Linked DNA regions of Daphnia pulex. The protein of the gene in region 2 interacts with the protein of the main gene of each other region in a biochemical or structural test. Links are inferred from orthologs where the notes say so. Each region holds a gene or a part of one and is shown on either strand. Other genes may lie near its edges.

Evidence for each region.
Region 1: of the proteins of serine/threonine-protein kinase WNK2-like (region 2) and serine/threonine-protein kinase OSR1-like, one has a biochemical effect on the other in vitro, tested with the Drosophila melanogaster proteins (2 studies listed by BioGRID). The link is inferred for Daphnia pulex from reciprocal best matches to the Drosophila melanogaster genes Wnk and fray.

Annotation. Positions count from the first base shown.
Region 1 is NC_060026.1:7,355,742-7,360,305, forward strand, and holds the start of serine/threonine-protein kinase OSR1-like, read left to right. Parts: upstream 1-1,597; 5' UTR 1,598-1,689; coding exon 1,690-1,709; intron 1,710-1,733; exon of another isoform or gene 1,734-1,788; coding exon 1,789-1,846; exon of another isoform or gene 1,847-1,920; coding exon 1,921-1,989; intron 1,990-2,058; exon of another isoform or gene 2,059-2,275; coding exon 2,276-2,330; intron 2,331-2,440; exon of another isoform or gene 2,441-2,524; coding exon of another isoform or gene 2,525-2,558; coding exon 2,559-2,606; intron 2,607-3,071; coding exon 3,072-3,184; intron 3,185-3,248; coding exon 3,249-3,343; intron 3,344-3,412; coding exon 3,413-3,568; intron 3,569-3,622; coding exon 3,623-3,788; intron 3,789-3,844; coding exon 3,845-3,946; intron 3,947-4,004; coding exon 4,005-4,138; intron 4,139-4,197; coding exon 4,198-4,283; intron 4,284-4,350; coding exon 4,351-4,542; intron 4,543-4,564. Other genes in the region: serine-enriched protein-like, read left to right, coding at 165-317, 381-414, 481-578, 642-780, 848-1,113.
Region 2 is NC_060019.1:867,187-871,438, forward strand, and holds the start of serine/threonine-protein kinase WNK2-like, read right to left. Parts: upstream 2,835-4,252; 5' UTR 1,552-2,834; exon of another isoform or gene 1,472-1,551; 5' UTR 1,430-1,471; coding exon 407-1,429; intron 1-406. Other genes in the region: E3 ubiquitin-protein ligase Topors-like, read right to left, coding at 3,463-3,658, 3,740-4,173, 4,245-4,252. UniProt on the Drosophila melanogaster protein: Serine/threonine-protein kinase component of the WNK-SPAK/OSR1 kinase cascade, which plays an important role in the regulation of electrolyte homeostasis and regulatory volume increase in response to hyperosmotic stress.

The DNA.
Region 1 (4,564 bases), on a different chromosome or scaffold from region 2:
TGCCGAAGAATTTGAGCCTGACGTGTTTCGGCAACTCATAGAATACATTCACACCGGTTGCGTTACCCTTCAACCTAGAACTTTGCTCGGTATTACGGGAGAATGTGCAATGTGCTGCTTACGATTATGATTATAGCAACCATTGTTGTTGTATTATAGGAGTGATGAATGCGGCTGACTATTACGGACTGGACGAACTGCGTCGATCGTGTGTAGGTTTTGTTCAGTGCTGCATCAATGTCGACACTGTTTGTGCCCTTTTGGCTTCAGCAGAACGCTACATCCAGTACAAATGCACCAAATCTCTAGTTCAAAAGGTTTTATGCGCATATATTTTCAAAATATTCAAAAAAATTTTAATTTTACGTTTTTTCTTTCAGGTTTTAGAATTTGTTGATGAACATGGAAATGAAGGTAAACATTCTATTTAAAATAGCTTCGTTCTTCGTAATGCACAATTAATTTCAAATTTCTCTCTAGTATTGAATTTGGGATCATTTACACTATTGCCGCAACATGTTGTCCGTCTTGTTCTGTGTCGAGATGAACTCAAAGCGGATGAATTCACAAAATTTCAAGTAGTTTCATTAATCACGTCAAAAGTCGAATATCGTATTATTTATATGTTATTAATCCTTTAGGCTGCTTTGATGTGGTCGAAAAAATATTGCGACAGTAATCCCAACATCAGCCTAAAAGAAACGTTGTCCAACTTTTTAGAATTCATCCGATTTCACCAAATTCCAGCTAATGTTTTGATGCGAGAAATCCATCCATTGGGTACGATTTACTTTAAATCCATTTATAAAAATTGTTATAACCTTAGCGTTTCCGGTTATATCTGTAGGATTGGTACCAGATCATTTAATCATGAATGCATTGGCGTACCAAGCCGATCCGACTTGCGTAGACCCAGCTAAATTGTCACCTACTCCGCAACGTGGCGGTAGGAGACGATCTCAAGCCCGTTCCATGTCAGTCCAGTCGTCACTCGATCCGTACGGATCGTCCACCACGCTCAATAGCGAAAGCGCTTCTTCTGAAATTGAGTCCAGTCCTCGCTTAAGTTCCGATGGAAGTCGAGGTTCACCATTGGGGCGTCTCTCTAATTAATTTATTTTTGCTGTTAATACTCTTATGCACTTTGCCCAAAACAGAGTTGTAACTATTAATTTCAACGTATGTATGTATATGTATGTTTGTATTTTTTGGGGTCAAACCATAAGTATACGGTGTATGAATTTGTCGAACGTACAATTAAAACGCATAGGTCGTCCCGTCAATCACGCTGGGCCAATCACTTTAGTATTCTGGTTAAGACAATGGCGACGGTCCGTGAATGAAGATTATGGTGCGGGGCGTCCTCATCTCCATTGAGGTCAATTTTCAATGCCGTTCCAAAAATTGAGTTCTAATTGCGCAGTTATTGAGTGTTATGGGCTTCACATGACCTAAAAATGTCAGCACAATACCGATAAAATTTTTATATGCCAGTCATTAATTCAATTTCGTGAAGAACCTTGTGTAGTGTAGAAGAATAACTATCAGCCAATCATCTGAGCTAGTCAACCTAGTATATTAGTGGATCAAGTGACGGATTCTACAGATCTTTTATGAACAGTACGTTTCATTGGTCTTTGATGAATGGACGTTCTGTGGCGTCGCTCTAGTAGTATAAAATTCGTCTAAATGAAGAGTTATAGAAAAGGGTACGGTAACATTTCATAACGTACATTATGTTAGTCATTTGGGTCTCATCTTCGTGACGCACGTTATCTTGGGTTACAGAAACTTCACGTTGGAAATTCTTCCCAAGTCGCCGTCGATGACGTCCACATCCCTGGAGGTAATTGCCTTAATTGGTGGCCGGAATTCTCTCATGGAGGATTTATTGACGAGCATATGGGGCTGTTTGCTTAGGTTTTCCGTCGTCGAAATTCTGTGCTGGAATACGAACAGCACTTTAATGACCATCTTCCGTCCTTTCAGGTAATGAAACCTTACGCTTCGTTCTCGTTTCACTAGCCCTCGGCGACCACTCGATTGTTTATTCTACAGATCCCACCATATATACACCTTTCCTATCTGTTCCGCATATGAATTTGAAAAGAGGACAGACACGTAGTACAGAAAGTGGCACGAATGACTCCAAAAGTGTTGGTCAGTTCGTCGCGAGCTTGTGAGTCGTTCTAAAGTCCCTTAAACAGCACCACCGGATAACCGATTTCGATAGTGAAAGAGAGATTACTGTGATAATTTAATTATTGCAATACAGGGGGACGAACTGCGTTCACAGCTGGAAAACGATTGTACAAGCTTGATAAAAAAAGGTAAGATATAGCGTGGATTATGGGGTTAATTCGTAAAGTGGGCAGCAAACAGAATTTTGACAGAATCGAAAATCTAGAGTTCTAGAACGCTATATCAAACTCGACTAAAGTTTCACTTAGGTGCTCCACAAGTACATTGTCATTCATCAAAAAATAAACAAAATTGGACATAATAACACATACATTGGATTTTCATGGCGGAAAATAATTCACCAAATTTAACGTCAGTCGGCTGGCCAAATTCCAAGGATGACTACGTCTTGGCCGAAGTTATTGGTGAGAATCTTTACTGTCGTAATTTTGGGGGACCAATGTCACTAATGGTGGACGATTTGCCTTCGAACGTCAGCGTTCTTGTAATACCTATTCAGCTTAAAGAAAACTTACTCGTATCTTTTAATATTTGAAGAATACTAAAATCAAATTTTAAAATGAATGATTAAAAGAAAAAAAATTAGGTTTTTTTTTTCATTTTTTATCTGACACAACCTAAAAAACTAATACCACTCTCAAATGTCAAAACAATGCTGTGACTACTAGGTCATCTCTGTTTGCTAGAATCTAGTTCTTGGCCTACATTTATAATATTAAAAACATTTGTGTAAAGTACCAATGAATTTTCTAGTCGTAGTTTGTATTTTTTGTTAGTCAGTAACTAAAAGTGACATTTCTCGAAATTAGCTAGGTGTGGTCATATCTAAAGTTTGGGCAACTGATAAGATATTACTATTGTGTTCTTAGGTGTGGGAGCCACAGCGGTTGTGCATTCTGCCTTTTGCAAGGCCCGCAATGAGAAATGTGCCATCAAGCGAATCAATCTAGAAAAATGGAATACAAGCATGGAAGAACTCCTAGTAAGTTTCATTTTCTCTTAGTTTATAGCATCACAAAATGAATAATCTCTTATTTTTTTTGTAGAAAGAAATTCAGGCTATGTCTTCCTGCCATCACGAAAATGTTGTTACATATTTTACATCATTTGTTGTTGGTGAAGAACTATGGCTTATCCTCAGGTGAGTTTTTTTTTTTTTTTTTTTAAATTTTATTCTTAGGAGAGAATTCATAACTTTAAATTGGTTTAGACTTCTTTCTGGAGGTTCACTTCTTGATATAATTAAACATCGAATGAAGGCAACTGATTGCCGTCACGGTGTTTTTGATGAAGCAACCATTGCCACAGTACTAAGAGAAGTTCTCAAAGGACTCGAATACTTCCATAATAATGGCCAGATCCATAGGTAATTTTTCTGAATTCACTATGCTGTAGCATTATTACAAATTGCCATTTACAGGGATATTAAAGCTGGAAACATACTGTTAGGGGAGGATGGTACAATTCAAATCGCTGATTTTGGAGTCTCGTCTTGGCTAGCGACAGGTGGAGACTTGAGCCGACAAAAGTCGAGGCATACTTTTGTTGGTACACCTTGCTGGATGGCACCAGAAGTCATGGAGCAAGTAAGCAATAAAATATACATTCATTCGTTTCTCCAAATTCATAGCTACTATTTTAGGTGACTGGTTACGACTTTAAAGCAGACATCTGGTCTTTAGGGATCACCGCCATCGAATTAGCTACGGGCACTGCACCTTATCATCGCTATCCTCCGATGAAGGTAAATTCTTTTACACTGTAAATAGTTGAAAATTGATTAATATTAAATTTTATGTTAGGTTTTATTACTTACTTTGCAAAATGATCCTCCTTGCCTAGAAACTGGTACAGAAGAGCGTGACCAGTACCGAGCTTATGGCAAGAGTTTCAGGAAACTCATAGTCGATTGCCTTCAAAAAGATCCTACTAAACGGTAAGCGTTTTGAAAATGTTTGAATAATTTCCGTAGTGTAATATTGACTTTTGATTCAGGCCAACTGCCACCGAGTTGCTCAAACATCCTTTCTTGAAGAAGGCAAAGGATAGAAGGTACCTGGTACAAACTTTGATTGCCCAAGGTGATTTCACTCAGAAAAATGTTTAAATTTCTATTTTCAACATAATATTTTCTCTTATTATTTATAGCTCCTTCTTTAGAGGCTCGTTCTCAGAAAAGTCGCAGTTACCGAAAGGCCCCTGGAGCATCCGGCAGATTGCACCGAACTGAAGCGGGAGACTGGATATGGTCTTCGGACTCGGAAGATGAAGCGCACTCAAATGATGAATCTGACGACGAGCCTCCGTCAGAAAAACCTCCAAATCCTCTTATTCAAAAGGGTAAATCATATAAATGTATATT
Region 2 (4,252 bases):
GGGAAAAGAAATCCGAAGGGCATCGCAGTGCACAACCAAGGCCGCTAGACGCTGGTAGTAGACACTTAAAAAAAACGTGAACCAACCCTTTGGTCCACGTCATAACGAGACGACGAACCAAACGTCGGATTTTTGGAGGAGGAGTAGCCGGAAGTGAGACAACGATTCCAACAAAAAAAAAACCGTGATGGATCGTCTATTCTGATCCCGTGACAAAGGTCGACAACTTTTTCAAAACGACGTTGCAATGGCCAAAAAAAAGTTTCACGTTACTCGGTTTCGTGTTTCTACATCTCCCTTTTTTCCTTACTACTGGCCAATAAACCTACAATCGATAAACAAAAGCCGGCCAAGTCTCGTTCGTTCCTTTTTTTTAGTTTTAGTTTAGTTTTAGTTTCTTTTTTACCTGAAGTTCGCACCAGGCGACTGAAACTCCCGTTTGCGTGTCAAGTCCTCGATAGACGGTCTTGAAACTACCGCGGCCAATTTCCTCCTCGAATTTGAGGAAACGCTCGTCCGGCGATGTGGCCACCGCCTGTTCTTCGTTGTCTTCGGTGGCGTGTGTCTCGTCACTCTCCTCCTCTTTCTCGTGACCGTTTTCACGATGACCACCGCCTACTACGACAGGCAGCGAGTCCGTTTTGGCAATCGTTTCCAGGCTGTTTTTCTTGCCTTCTTCTTCTACTTCTTCCTTGACGTCCGGCTGGGGCTGCTGCACAGAGTCCAGCTCAGTTGACTTGGGCTGACTGGGGACTGTTTCAGAGTCCTGATCAATTGACTGTTGTTGGCAGAGCGTCTTGGAAATGGACAGGTTGATCAAGTCTGTGGCCAATTTGCTGCTGCTGGTTGTAGCAACAGCAGCAGTTTCCTCTGCTTTGATTGACGGTGGGGAACCAGACTCTGACACACTGTTTTGCCTCTTGATCTTGTTCGTAATGCCTGGTCTGGGTCTGGCTGCCACGTTGTGTGAGGGGATTTTAGAGACTTTGCTGTTGACAGCTTTGACTTGACGATTGAGGGCTTCCACACTTTTGGAAGGACCAGGTTTTCCAGGAGTCGTAGAAGGTGGGGGCCACGACTGCTCCATCCTACCTAGAGGAGTATTGTTAGGTTGGGTGTTGTTGGTAGACCTGGGTGAAACGGAAGCCAGGTGCTCTCTACTGCTGGTCTTACTGGGCGGCCTGGAAGCAGGATTTCTGTTTGGGATGAAGCTGCCACTGCTGCGTGAAGGACTCTGACTGGGACTCCTGCCACCCAACACCAGTTTAGGGCTGGGCTCGTCAAACTGGCAGTGAGTCTGGAAGACTGTTCTGATGGTGTTGTTCATCTGACGACTTTGGTTGCCCAATATCTCCCCGAGCCCCTTCTCAGACTCCTCTCTTGCCTTGGTGGCTATCCTATTGGGCATGATAGCTTTAGTTCTCGGCATGGTGATGGCACTCTTCACAGGCTGCTACCTCCTCACTGTGCACTAAATCAAGAAAAAGGACACACAATGATTGTTAAAGCTTGGTTGTAAATTCGAGGTCGTTCTGCATAGTTTCTTATTACGTTGCTAGTGACGGGGGAAGGAAGTGGGCAGAATTCCACGGAAACGTCAAAACACAAACAAAATGTTTCACTAACGAACGGAAGCACACTCATACCACCGCCTCCGTGGATTACGGCATCCAAACTGTAACTTGAAATGTCTTCAACTGGTCCATTTATATCAGATTGTGTTTTGTGTGTGACGACGGAAAAAATTTATAACACAACTCCGCCTCTTTTTTGATTCTCTCTCAAACTTTCTGTCTTGTCTCTCTCACACACTGCGATTCACGGTGGTGTGATTCTCACAGAGGCAAACAGTCAAGTGCTGCTGTACTCAGAAATGCATGGTACCTTGTCTGCTTTCGCACCAGACGGTCACAGACGAATGGGGGAAGGGGGCTTTAATTTTTCTCAGACATGACTACGCCATCTAGCGGTCGAGAAAAACAACCTTGGATGTCCTTGGGAAGTCTATCGCCCCTGGAAAAGAACAAAAATTCCCAAGAAGAACAAAAATGGCTGCAACACTAATCAGAGATAGTTAAAAAAAAAAAAAACTGGTACAATCTAGACGATAAATAAATCCCGGATCAAGGATCACAGAATAAGCCATTACGAGGGCAAAAAGTTACAACGTATATTTTGTCTGATATTTTTCCCGTCAGTCTCAGGGGTTGTTCACACACACCCACAGCAAACACTTCCGCGAAAAAAGCTTTTGCTTCCCGATTCAGCGCGATATGCGGATTGTACAGAATATCACCTTGAGCCTTTCCTACTCCCAAGGTCTCCCTGTATTTTATTTTTCCCTATGCGCCAAAAAATGTTGACGCTGTTGACTCAAGTGGGGGGGTGTTATTGGCGTACGACCGTTACGTCACGCGTGCAAATAGATGAAAGGCATTGATTGGCGCTACCACCCCCAAGGTCAAAGCGCAAAAAAAAAACAACACCACAACTTCAATTTTCCTACTCTTGTGTTACGTGAGTGCCACTGATAAAAAAGAAAAAACCGTTTGGCCATAAAACAAGGGAATTCGCCGCCATCACGCAAGGTCTTGCGAAAAATTCCACGTAGTCGTTTCTTCCGGTGAATCACCAACGTGTCTGAAAAGGAATTGCAACGTTGAAACTCTATTTCATTTAAGGGAATAATAAACCAGTCCCGGTCCACTTATTTAGGATACTACTACAACACACACTTTGTTTTAAATAGCAACGCCAGCTGATCCGGCGACACACAGTGCCATTCCCGAACGAACTCTACGCCCGTCAGGCGGGCGCCAGAAGTAGACGACGAGCGAGCTTATACCATGTCGTGTCAATAATAACGACCTCTTTTTTTTTCTTCTTCTCTTTTCCAAATCCCGAGGATCAGATGACGAACTATGGCTGTATAGATATAGAACCTTGAGAAACGGGCCAAACCAACAACAGCTGTGTGTGCTTTTCTTTTTCAACTCGCTTTCTTGTTTGAAATTGTTTTAATTCTTTTTAATTGGCGCTGCCGGGATTTTTGCGAATGTTTGCACGCCATGGTTGTTTTTTTTTGTGTTTAGGCAAAAATAATTCTTGGGTCGGGGGATATACACACTCGATTACATCAGTTCCCACTTTGAAGTAGCTCTTAGCCTTGATGGGACACACACACACAAATACCGGAACTCTTGGGACGCTTGTGGCTGGCAAACTTCCTTTTCCAGCTAAATCATCTTCAAGGTTCAGATTAACACAAAACATGCACACAATGAAGGAAGAAGAGGCTAGACGAAAAACGATAGCCATTTGAAACCAAAACAATCAAGAAAAAGAGAAAGCATCATCAAACCATCAGTCTCTTGGTTAACATTGTTGTATCTCCATCGGTTCAAGGTAGTCGAGGAGCCTCGAACATTCAAATCAAATGTAATTTTGTAGCATAGAACTTGGTTAATTGAATCTGTCTCGCTTGTGCCGACGTTTGCTTCCGCTGGATTCATGGGGCCGGTCGTTGTGCAGCTGGCGCCGTATCTCTTCCGGATCCATATCCCAATAGCGGACAGCAGCTCCGCCGGATAAACGAGACGACTGGTCCGGGCTGGTATCGTTGATATTGTTCTCTTCCGTTTCTCGGCTGAAACGAGCTCTGTGTTGTTTTGGAGTGGGGGTTATAAGGGGACATCATGAATCTTGTTGGCGATTGACGTTGAGCATCCGCAAGGAATACCTGGTATTTAGATTTGGCGTTTCAACGGGCGAAGTCGGAGATCGATCGCGCTTCCTTTTCTTCTTTTTGGCGGACTTTGTTCGTTGTTGCGGCTCCTTGCGTGCATTAACTCTGTTGCCAGGGGAACTTTTTTGTTTGAGAGCTTTGCCGCGAGAGGATGAAGAGCTGGCTTCGTTTCGCTCCGACTCTTCTTCCCGTTCCTCATCCGATTCCGATAGCGTTATCACCAGGGGGGAAGACGGACGGATTACTTCCACAATCTCAACGTCCAGGTCGTCGTCCTCATCCTCCTCTGATGGTCTAGTTCCTGAACTGGAAGGACCCGGCATGGCGGAGTAACTCTGACCATCGTCGATAACCACCGCGGAAGAACTTCGGCCAATCCCACTAGGACCTGGCTGGGGAGAAGGAGGCAACGGAATATCACGGGGTGCCTAATAAGAAACAACAATTCATTAAAAGGATTGAGATAAATCACTTTAGGGCATTTTGAATCTTTTATTACCACGCGAG